Linked DNA regions of Arabidopsis thaliana. The protein of the gene in region 1 binds, or shares a complex with, the protein of each later gene. Each region holds a gene or a part of one and is shown in the gene's direction. Other genes may lie near its edges. The genes, in order: VIN3, SWN and MSI1.

The links.
Region 2: VIN3 (region 1) and SWN share a complex: the UniProt entries of both Arabidopsis thaliana proteins name them as parts of the plant homeodomain / polycomb repressive complex.
Region 3: VIN3 (region 1) and MSI1 share a complex: the UniProt entries of both Arabidopsis thaliana proteins name them as parts of the plant homeodomain / polycomb repressive complex.

Annotation. Positions count from the first base shown.
Region 1 is NC_003076.8:23,247,824-23,251,577, reverse strand, and holds the start of VIN3 (Fibronectin type III domain-containing protein), read left to right. Parts: upstream 1-2,073; 5' UTR 2,074-2,288; coding exon 2,289-2,303; intron 2,304-2,712; exon of another isoform or gene 2,713-2,763; coding exon 2,764-2,830; intron 2,831-3,109; coding exon 3,110-3,659; intron 3,660-3,746; coding exon 3,747-3,754. UniProt on the Arabidopsis thaliana protein: Plays a central role in vernalization by mediating the initial transcriptional repression of the homeotic gene FLC, a floral repressor, after a cold treatment.
Region 2 is NC_003075.7:884,891-888,644, forward strand, and holds the start of SWN (SET domain-containing protein), read left to right. Parts: upstream 1-1,689; 5' UTR 1,690-1,802; coding exon 1,803-1,838; intron 1,839-2,089; coding exon 2,090-2,209; intron 2,210-2,309; coding exon 2,310-2,575; intron 2,576-2,715; coding exon 2,716-2,874; intron 2,875-3,127; coding exon 3,128-3,212; intron 3,213-3,315; coding exon 3,316-3,459; intron 3,460-3,547; coding exon 3,548-3,595; intron 3,596-3,679; coding exon 3,680-3,751; intron 3,752-3,754. Other genes in the region: AT4G02010 (Protein kinase superfamily protein), read left to right, coding at 1-332. UniProt on the Arabidopsis thaliana protein: Polycomb group (PcG) protein. Catalytic subunit of some PcG multiprotein complex, which methylates 'Lys-27' of histone H3, leading to transcriptional repression of the affected target genes, mainly abscisic acid (ABA) responsive elements.
Region 3 is NC_003076.8:23,554,134-23,557,887, forward strand, and holds the start of MSI1 (Transducin/WD40 repeat-like superfamily protein), read left to right. Parts: upstream 1-1,878; 5' UTR 1,879-1,978; coding exon 1,979-2,323; intron 2,324-2,426; coding exon 2,427-2,753; intron 2,754-2,918; coding exon 2,919-3,071; intron 3,072-3,208; coding exon 3,209-3,333; intron 3,334-3,445; coding exon 3,446-3,541; intron 3,542-3,632; coding exon 3,633-3,754. Other genes in the region: TTL (transthyretin-like protein), read right to left, coding at 413-846, 1,023-1,179, 1,265-1,366, 1,447-1,728. UniProt on the Arabidopsis thaliana protein: Core histone-binding subunit that may target chromatin assembly factors, chromatin remodeling factors and histone deacetylases to their histone substrates in a manner that is regulated by nucleosomal DNA.

The DNA of each region.
Region 1 (3,754 bases):
CCTTTATTGTTCATTTCAATGGGCTAAATCGATAAACACAAATCTTCATATCTTGCCTTCGTTGAGTGTGTGTGTGTGTACGAGTATACTATTTTCTGCAGATTACTGAAATAATCAACGTGATAGAACGCCCGTTTCTTGATTTACACTAGCCCAATAATCAATCATCATAAATGTTCATCACATTTTTACGAGACCACACAAATTATTATCAAGATCGAATATACAATTAGTTGGTCATAAAACACTTTTGAAAAACCATAATTGCATCCATAATGTTTAGTAACTAACATTTAACCTTTTTCATGATTTCCTTTTCGTTCATGTTCTCTTCATGTCCAAGTGTTAGCACATTTCTCTCTTCCAATTGTTTTCAAATGCCACTGCAAGTGAACTTTCTCTAACTTATTTGCTCTAGCGCAGTTTATTTGTTTCTTATACCACGAAGGCCAACGATACAATATTAGAACCTTTCATTGAATATGTTATATATGTTACAAACTTCATATGGATTTTTACGTTTTTACCATGTAATAGCATTGTTCTTCTTCCTCATTTGATGATTTTTTGTTTTTATATCTAAACAATAAATTATGATCTAAACCCTAACTCCAAACACTCTAATTATTCAGTTGGAAAAACTTAGATCGAACATGTCAAAACTAAAAATATGCGGACTTTTAACTGGTTTAGCCCTACCTCCACCACCCCTTCTCACCCTGTCCCGTCTCTTTACATGATAATGCTCATTTTGCACATTTTAGTCAAATCCTCTTTTGATCCACAATACAACTTACTAACCTGAAATAACTTGGGTTAAGATATATCATGTGAATGTTTATGGAATTCTATTACAAAATTAAGTTACAATTATTGCATGTATCTTTGTCATAATCACTCGTTCATGAATTCTAACATAATTTTTAATCGAATGTGGATTCTTAATTTTCTTTTGGCAAAAAGTCACTCGTCCCAAAAGAATTAGTCGAAGAAATTCTTTACATGGGATGCTAATTCAAAAAAAAAACTTTTGGCAAATCGCTTTTTTTGGTATCTGGACCGACCGTCTTCATGGGCAAACTAAAATTGTTAATGGCTATATTAGTACTTGTCTAGTACAAGTTGTATTACTAAACTGTACTATTAAAGTATTTGTAGATGAACTAAATTTTAAAGATGAATTAAGTTTACTTGACTCCGTTTTCTCCACCCAAATTTGAATCCATTAAGCGTTATCCCCTCTAGTAAACTTTCACCTAAAAAATCCATTGACTATAGATCGAGTCTACTCGATTTAAAGATGTCCAAAAAACAAAAAAAGATGAACTAAAGTAATCAGTTATTTAAGAAAATCTTTTACATCAGTTGGTTTAGAAAACATAATTTAATCTAACGGAACTTCTCATTTTCATATGATAATCTATATATAGAATATTAACCTTCTTTTATTGTTAACGTTTTGTGGATTTTGAAAATTTGAACTAATACTAGATGTTTAACTTTGTTAATAAAATACTACTAATCATCACAAATTAACGTAGATGATGCAAAACAAAAATATGTGAAAGTTTTTAAGAGATCTGCATTTTGTAAACTTCACAAAAACTAAAAACCCTTGTCACAAAATCTAAACTCAGAATTCTGAAATTATAAACTAATAACTTTGTTGTTTAAGACTTACTCGAAGTTTGTACACGATAGTTCATACACCATATCAACATTATCATAATCTCTTCTCCCCTCTTCTTATAAAAGAAAAAATAATATTTTCAAAAAAAAAAAAAAAAAACTTGTATATAAACAAACTATTAAATTCAATAAAAAGATTTATAAAATTTATGATAGTAAATAAAAATGATTTTACATATCGTAATATTTCGAACATATAGTAGTGAGTCATAAGCGACATCCTAGAAAAGGTATATACAATAAGTCCAGCATTGGTTACAGGTCAAATCAAAGCATTTGCGTATATAATATCTTCCAAAGCACGTGAAGATATTTCCAACGTTTTTTTTAATATTAAAAAATACACAAAACCAAAATTCTAAAGAACTTTAAAAAAAAAAGCTCTCATCAGAGCAGAAGTTTCATCCATCAGAGGGTTTCCTCCTTAGAAACATCTAGAAAAAACAAAAGGAGAGAGAGAGAGAGAAGAACCATCCATCACAGAAACATCTTTTCCTTTTTCACTAAATCCCCATAAAAGATCTCTAAAATAAACCTAGCAAAAAAAAAAATCAAGAGAAAAAAAACGAAGAACACGAAGAACGACAAACAAAAAAAAAATGCAAGCTGCTTCGGTAAACAGCGTTTTTTTTTTATATAAATATTCTTTGTATGCTGTTTTTTTTTGAAGGCTTCTCATTCGGTGAACAACAACCAATTCTAATTTTGCATATATATTTACTCTCTGAGTATTTGTTTATTTTAATTAAAGAAAATTCTCAATGGTTTGTTCTTAAGACTGAGTCATCCTCGAATCTTTTGTCTAATAGTTACAAATATAGGTTCTTACAAAGTGTATTTCATGGGTTTCTCTTTGGTTGTTTAAAGATTATAACTTCAAAATGAAAATCGATAAAATCTGAATTTTTTTTTCGATCTTGTGTTCTTCATCATCGTAAGTGTTACATCTTTGAGAATTTTTTTTTTGTCTGTACTTAAGTGTTATTGTCAGATTGTTGTGATGGTTTATTTTTTTTGGTTCTTGCTTTAACTTTGACATAATTGAACCTTTTGTGTGAAATCGGATCTCGGCAGCTCTCAAAGATCTGGCGTTTCGATGGTAATGTGGGTCCAGAGAACATGGATTCTTCTTCGTTTGAAGGTACGATATTTTCTCGACGTGAACGTCTCTCTCACTGTTCCTAGTTTCATGCGTTTTAGGTCGTTAACACGACGACGTTTTTACACAATATCAACAAACGTTTTATTTCTCGCATTGGATTCGTCGTCATTGTTGATATTTCGTTTCTGGGTTGTTGAGATTCATTCAAAGTTTTATACTTTTGATCATTTTTACCCCAAAAAGAGTCAGAATCTGTGATCCTCTCCTTTTTATCTTGAGGAGAATCTAGGGCTAAAGGATTGGTCTTTTATGGTGCAGATAATGAATGCATTGAGACTTGTAAACCAAACGTTTTGAATGTAAGTGAAAGGAGAGAATTGATCCACGCATTGTCTAACCAGCCTGAAGAAGCTTCGGAGCTTTTGAATTCATGGAGCAGAAATGAGATCATGAAGATCATATGTGCTGAGATGGGTAAAGAAAGGAAGTACACTGGTCTTAACAAACCAAAGCTCATAGAGAATCTTCTGAATCTTGTGTCTCGTCCTCTTGGAGAGACCTCTTGTTCTGACCGTAGAAACTCGAGGAAGAAGGAGAAGAAGATGATCGGTTACATCATTTGCTGTGAGAATTTAGCTTGTAGAGCTGCGCTTGGATGCGATGATACGTTTTGCAGAAGGTGTTCTTGCTGCATCTGTCAAAAGTTTGATGATAATAAGGATCCTAGTTTATGGCTTACTTGTGATGCTTGTGGATCGTCTTGTCATTTGGAATGTGGTTTGAAGCAAGATAGGTATGGGATTGGGAGTGATGATCTTGATGGTAGGTTTTATTGCGCGTATTGCGGTAAAGATAATGACTTGCTCGGGTAAGGATCTTTAGATATTGAAATCTATGGATATACTACAATGAAAAGAGAATGTAATGTAATGTGTGTGTATGCGAGTGCTTACAGATGCTGGA
Region 2 (3,754 bases), on another chromosome or scaffold:
CAAGACTTGAAGGAAAATACCCGAAAGAAGATTTCATAAGAGTATGCACAATCGCTGCAGCTTGTGTTGCACCTGAAGCTAGCCAGAGACCAACGATGGGCGAAGTGGTTCAGTCACTTAAAATGGTTCAACGGGTGGTTGAGTATCAAGACCCGGTTTTAAACACTTCAAATAAAGCTCGTCCTAACCGGAGACAATCATCAGCTACGTTCGAGTCAGAAGTAACCTCTTCTATGTTCTCTTCTGGTCCTTATTCTGGTCTAAGCGCTTTTGATCATGAAAATATTACACGAACAACTGTTTTCTCAGAAGATCTTCACGAAGGCCGATGATAGAAGCCAGGGTTTTCTTCTTTTTATTTGTTTTTCTCCCACTTACGGTGAGAAAATTTCCACCAGAGAAGCTTTTGAGTTTGGGACATTATTACAGCTCTTTGGATTTTGGATTCTCCTTTATTGGAGGATAGAATTTTGTATATATTTTTGCGTTAATTAATTAATATTTGCCACAACCATCAGATATACAAATAGAATTTGAATATACTTTTTCCAATATAAAAAAACTATGTACAGGTGATTAGTTTGTACTGTTAATTTTTAAAGGCTTTTTACAGTAAAAGTTTTTACAGCTAAAAGTAACAGTATAATACTTTTTTTTTATGGAATAATCTAAATAAAATATAATCTGTTGAAAAACTAATATTTTAAATATAATTTTTATGGTATCAAACCAATATTTAAAGTAATTCCTTTCTTATTAGTTAAAATCACAGTTTTTATTATTATTATTTTTGATAGTGGTTATGTTCAGGAAAGGACTGTCATACATTCAGGATGGATTTACAGAGATTGCAATGGATGTTTCCTTAGTTCAGGGCGTGCTCAACTTCAATCGTCACAATTATCTCTTCAAGCAGAGGCTCTCGGATTTCTTCATGCCCTTCAAGTGACTTGGTCCCGAGGACTACATTATGTACTTATGTGTGGTTTGAGAGCGATAATGCAGAGCTAGTAAATCTGATCAATACGCAGAGTGATCATAATAAGATCATCACTCTTCTTTATGATATTCGTTATTGGATGGTGAAGCTTCCGTTCTCTTCCTTAGCACATGTTAATTGGGAAAGAAATGCAGCTGCGGACATCTTATCTAAAAAGGCTCAGTTAATTAATTCTCTGTACCACCATTATGGTTAGAAAGATATTTGTATCTCCCTTTACAAGTTTATAAGAAGCATACATATGTTAAAAAAAAAAAATCTTTACAGTTTAAATCTTTACGCTCAGAGATTTTTACTTTACAGCTAATATTCTTAGCCTCAATGGCTAGTATTGTTAACGTCAAAGTTTCTAAAGCCACACAAATCATAGTAGTTACCTTTAAGATAAAATACAATTATAATCACAAATATCTTAATATTTTTACGTTCAGAGTTTATTACTTTACAACTAATACTTATCTCAAACGTAACTGCTATAACCTGTGTGGCTCTAGAGACTTTGACGTTAATAATATTAGCCATTATTAGCCTCAACGGCTCCAGAGCCAGGCATGTCGTAATAGTTATCTTTAAGATAACATACAATTATAATCACAAATAGAAAATAATTGTCGCAAAACCACTAATTAAATTACACACGTATAAGCACTATTCATTCACACGTGTGGCGTTCTTTGTATGTAATGTAACCCCCCTTCCAGTCCACACTCCGTTCGTCCTTCTCACAAGTCTGATTGCGGAAAAAGCAGAGAGAGAGAGAAAGTTCGAGCGGAAGAGAAGCGGAAAGCTCGAGGAGTCATCAATGGTGACGGACGATAGCAACTCCTCTGGACGAATCGTACTCAGATTTACCTTTCAATCTCCTCTTTTTTTTTTTTTTTTGATTTATTATCTGATTTTGCTCGTATGCGCATGATCATTCGCGTTTTTTCAGCTGATTGTTCGTGAAATCCGTTTGAGTTCATCAAATTATAATCGCTCTCTTACTTTTGTTCACTGTTGGAGTTGATGGACCTTATAGAATTAGTGTTTTTCCTCGTTGCTTTTGTTTTTTACACGATTTTTGTTTTGATTTGGGCTTCTGAATAGAAGTCTCATGTAGATGATGATGATGATGGTGAAGAAGAAGAAGATAGACTCGAGGGTTTGGAAAACAGATTAAGTGAGCTTAAAAGGAAAATTCAAGGAGAAAGAGTTAGGTCTATTAAAGTAAGAGAGTTTCTATACTTGATGTTCTTTACTAATTATACTAATGTCTAAAAAATTTGAAATCATTTATCCGTTTTTGATTGTTTTCCTGGGAATGTAGGAGAAATTTGAGGCTAATAGAAAGAAAGTGGATGCTCATGTTTCTCCCTTTTCATCTGCTGCATCGAGCCGAGCTACCGCAGAGGATAATGGAAATAGCAATATGCTTTCTTCGAGAATGAGAATGCCACTCTGCAAGTTAAATGGTTTTTCTCATGGTGTGGGAGATAGAGACTATGTTCCTACTAAGGATGTTATATCAGCAAGTGTCAAGCTTCCTATTGCTGAGAGAATACCGCCATACACTACCTGGATATTTTTGGACAGGCATGCACCTTTTCTAGTTCTCATTTTTGCGTTGGTAGCATGCTATTCTAAATTCAGTTGAACAATAGACTAGAACATCAAATTCAGTTTTCATATTATGTGTTGTTTTTCTTTTCTGAAAAAATATCTTAACCATGCAGAAATCAAAGAATGGCTGAAGATCAGTCTGTGGTTGGTCGAAGACAAATCTACTATGAACAACATGGTGGTGAGACGCTAATATGCAGCGATAGTGAGGAAGAACCAGAACCTGAGGAGGAAAAACGTGAATTTTCCGAGGGTGAAGATTCCATTATATGGTTAGTTTTGCAGAGAGTGTAAATTATGGACTCTCATGTACTCTGATGGGGAAAAATTGTGATACTGGTATTTGAAGAAGTACCTGGGTGGAATTTATTAACCAATGAATCACATTTGTTGATGCTAAAAAAAGATGTCATATTTCGTATTCATATCAAATTTCATTCTGTAAGACTCTTCATTAGCATTAGGTTTGAAATATATCTCACTATATATGAATTTCTTCATACCTCGTTTGACTTGAATTGGCAGGTTAATTGGGCAGGAGTATGGCATGGGTGAGGAAGTGCAGGATGCCCTTTGCCAGTTGCTAAGCGTAGATGCTTCTGATATCCTGGTGCAGTTTTTAGTCATCTTGTTCTTGTGGTTTATCTAATGATGTTTTTCTGGTCTTCCTATTCTTCTTCACTAATGATGTTTGGCTTTCCTGTCTGCTGCAGGAAAGATACAATGAGCTCAAGTTGAAGGATAAGCAGAATACCGAGGAATTTTCTAATTCCGGATTCAAGCTGGGAATATCTCTGGAAAAGGGCCTTGGTGCAGCTCTAGATTCTTTTGATAATCTTTTCTGCCGCCGTTGCTTGGTACTTGGATTGTTCTTTGTGACAGAGAGAGCATGTATTATTAAGTGTTTGTTAATCATGTTAATCCTTCTTTGGTTATTTCTAACAGGTATTTGACTGTCGTCTGCATGGATGTTCTCAGCCTTTGATTAGTGCTGTAAGCTTGAATTTGTCTTTACTTTCTTTAGTTGTATTGCTAAAGTTTCAGTGGACAACATAACAAGAGAACTTTGGTTGACAGAGTGAAAAACAGCCTTATTGGTCTGATTATGAAGGTGATAGGAAACCCTGCAGCAAACATTGTTACCTCCAGGTC
Region 3 (3,754 bases), 310 kb from region 1:
ACATTTTGCGCAAAGGTTTGGAATCGACCAAGATGTCTTAATCTAGACTATTATTGTCCTGCTGGCTATGAGTCTAGATTAAAACACACAACAGTTTTAGAGGCTTGTTTTGTGATCGACCATTTTGTACAAAGGTATAGAATCTCCCAAGATGTTTAACATGGTAATCTATACTATCGTTGTCCTACTCACAATGAGTCTAGATCAAAGCTCGTATTTTCGCTAATTCATTGTTTGTTCTACAGAACTACAAATCCAAATAAATACTCGAATAGACATTATTTCATAGCAATTTTTATACATGTCGAATAAAGACTTCATTTCATAGCAATTTTGATACATGTTCCCGTAGTGGTACAACCAAAACAAAATGTGTTGGAAAGTTGGTGCCGCAGACAGCAGTAGCATAGCTCTAGCTCCCACGGTATGTGGAGAAAGAAAAAGGTGCAAGCAACAGTGGGACATGGAAATGCTCCCATTTCTGTGATTCTGTAACCTGAAATACAATGGAAACATAGGGAAAGAAGCAGCCTGGGGAATACTTTGCAGTGTCGAAGCTAATCCTATATGTCCCTGGATTCAAAGCGTCAACCAAATCCATCAGTGGCCCACTGCGCCCATCTCTATCAGTAGCTGATGTGCCCACACTGGACCAGACCCCACCACCTCCATGAACAAAGGAAGGACCGGTAGTACCACTCCACACTTCTAAGTGCACTTCAACACCTGCAGCTGGAGCACCACGTGAGACGTCTAAGACATGAGTCGTGATCGGTGGCCTACTTCTCTTGGGAGCTTTTGCTTCAGCTGCAACATTCAAATGCCCTCCAATGATTCTCAGACGATCTTACAAAGCGAGAAAGTAGAAAAGGTCACACAGATAACAAAGATAGCCATAAGGGTAAATCCTTGTATTCCAAAAGACACATACTTGATATCATACTGAATCCTAACAGGTTCAAACCCACACAGTCAAACACAAAACTTTGACAAGGAAAAGATTTGGTAAATCATCAATATACCTTGAGGTTTTGTTGAAACAGGAGAGCTAGAGCTGTCAGTTTCTGATATAACTTTAGCCTTATCGGAGAACAGCTTTGCCATTCGTAGCTCTGTTATTTTCATTTGTTCCATAGCAGCAATCTCAAGCTCCACTATTGGCCTATTTTCATACCTTTCCTGAAAAAGAGACGATTTGATGAATATGTAACTTTCTCATTCACTCACACTCAACAAAAACTGATTTGGAAATGCAAAAGTTGACCTTTAACGCATGGAGCATCTCAGCGTGAGTCCTGCCAGAAGCGCAAATAATGAAGATAAAGCCAAACTTCTTTTTGTAAAGTACATTCCATTCGGCAAGCTCCTAAGAAATTGAAAACAATTGATCATCAGAAGAAGAAATCACTGAAGAGATGAAGGAAAAAAAAAGTGAAGATCCATCACCTGTAAAGCAGAAGCAGAAGTTGTGGCAAAGGCGGTTGACTGTTCTGATACGCTCCGACGAGCAAAATCGGAGTTGATAGAAGGTGAAGGAGTATTCCCAATCTGAGGATGAGCAGAGAAAGCTTCAAGCCAATCTGTCACATTAACTTGGTTGAACCAGATGTCTCTTGCAGTATATATTGCTTCTTGAGAAGTTAACGGTCCAGACGTAGACATCTGCTTCGCGAATTCGGAGCTTCCACAGCAAACCTTCCATTCATCTTCTCCGATCTCCATCGCCATTTTTTCTCTCTTTTCTCCAATCCTCACTTCTGTTGACTGGTGTAAGATCAAAAGTCATCTAATTGGGCCTTTTCATAAACGGGCTTTTCAAAAATGGGCCTTTTCTTTATCTTCTTCCTTTTTTTATTCATCATCTTCTATATGTGAATTATTCAGAAACAGAAGCGAGAAGTTTCTTACAATTTGTAAAGAGATCTGTTTTAGGGTTTTGCCTTGTTCTTGTGGCGGGAATAACAAAGACATCGCCGATATGGGGAAAGACGAAGAGGAAATGCGAGGTGAGATCGAGGAGCGACTAATCAATGAAGAGTACAAGATCTGGAAGAAGAACACTCCTTTCCTCTACGATCTCGTTATTACTCACGCTCTCGAGTGGCCTTCACTTACTGTTGAATGGCTTCCTGACCGTGAAGAACCTTCCGGTAAAGACTACTCCGTTCAGAAGATGATTCTCGGTACCCATACCTCCGAGAGCGAGCCCAATTACTTGATGCTAGCCCAAGTTCAGCTTCCTCTTGACGATACCGAGAGTGAAGCTCGTCAGTACGATGATGACCGCTCTGAATTTGGTGGCTTTGGCTGTGCAACTGGAAAGGTGCGATTTTTTATTTTTGTTTCTCATTTCCAACTTTCTAGATTTGATTCTAGGGTTATAACGAGGTAAAGGATGATAAATGTTAGTTTGATTGCTTGTGTAGGTACAAATTATCCAGCAGATAAATCATGATGGTGAGGTTAATCGAGCTCGCTATATGCCTCAAAACCCTTTCATAATTGCTACCAAGACAGTTAATGCGGAGGTCTATGTTTTCGATTACAGTAAGCATCCATCTAAGCCTCCTCTTGATGGGGCTTGTAATCCTGATTTAAAGCTTAGAGGTCACAGCTCTGAGGGATATGGTCTCTCTTGGAGTAAGTTCAAGCAGGGTCATTTGCTTAGTGGCTCTGATGATGCTCAGATCTGCTTGTGGGATATTAACGCTACTCCTAAAAACAAATCTCTGGACGCTCAGCAGATTTTTAAGGTAATGCTTTGGATTTCTATTCGTTTTTAGTTTTGTTTTGTATCATCTAGAAAGGAAGGAATTGCACCCACTTAACGGAATCAGTTACACTTATGAAAGCTCATAGATAGATATTCAGGTTGGTTTCTGTGTTTTCCTTGCTGATGATTATTTTCTGAACTTAAGGCTCATGAAGGGGTTGTGGAAGATGTTGCATGGCATCTGAGACATGAGTACCTGTTTGGATCAGTTGGAGATGACCAATACCTTCTCATATGGGATCTGCGTTCTCCATCTGCCAGTAAACCAGTACAGTCTGTGGTTGCTCATTCGATGGAGGTGAGTTTGCAATATATTAGCTTTAGATACAGATAATACTTCTGGTTTTTAAGCTTGCTTTCCTTAACACTAAAAACCATTGAATCATATTGCCTCGTATGTATTTGCTAATTGTTGAGTTGTTTGAAATGCCTTAGGTTAACTGCTTAGCCTTCAATCCATTTAATGAGTGGGTTGTGGCAACAGGATCAACTGACAAGACTGTTAAATTATTCGATCTACGGAAGCTAAGCACCGCTCTTCACACATTTGATAGCCACAAGTAAGAATGATACGCCATAAATATTGCCGCTTTGAGATGGATTTTGTGTTACTAAGAAGTATTTACAAGTTACAGCAACATCACTAACCTTAATTATGTGCTTGATCTCCAGAGAGGAGGTTTTTCAAGTTGGTTGGAACCCAAAGAACGAGACTATTTTAGCTTCATGTTGCCTTGGTAGAAGACTTATGGTTTGGGACCTTAGCAGGTTTGGGCCGTAGACTTTAGTTCTTTAGTTTAATGTTCATGTATGGTCATGGAGGAGCAATATTGATATGTTTGAGGGTGTCTTATGATAGGATCGATGAGGAACAGACAGTGGAGGACGCAGAAGACGGCCCACCTGAGCTGCTGTTTATTCACGGTGGTCACACTAGCAAAATTTCAGATTTCTCGTGGAACCCTTGTGAAGATTGGGTTA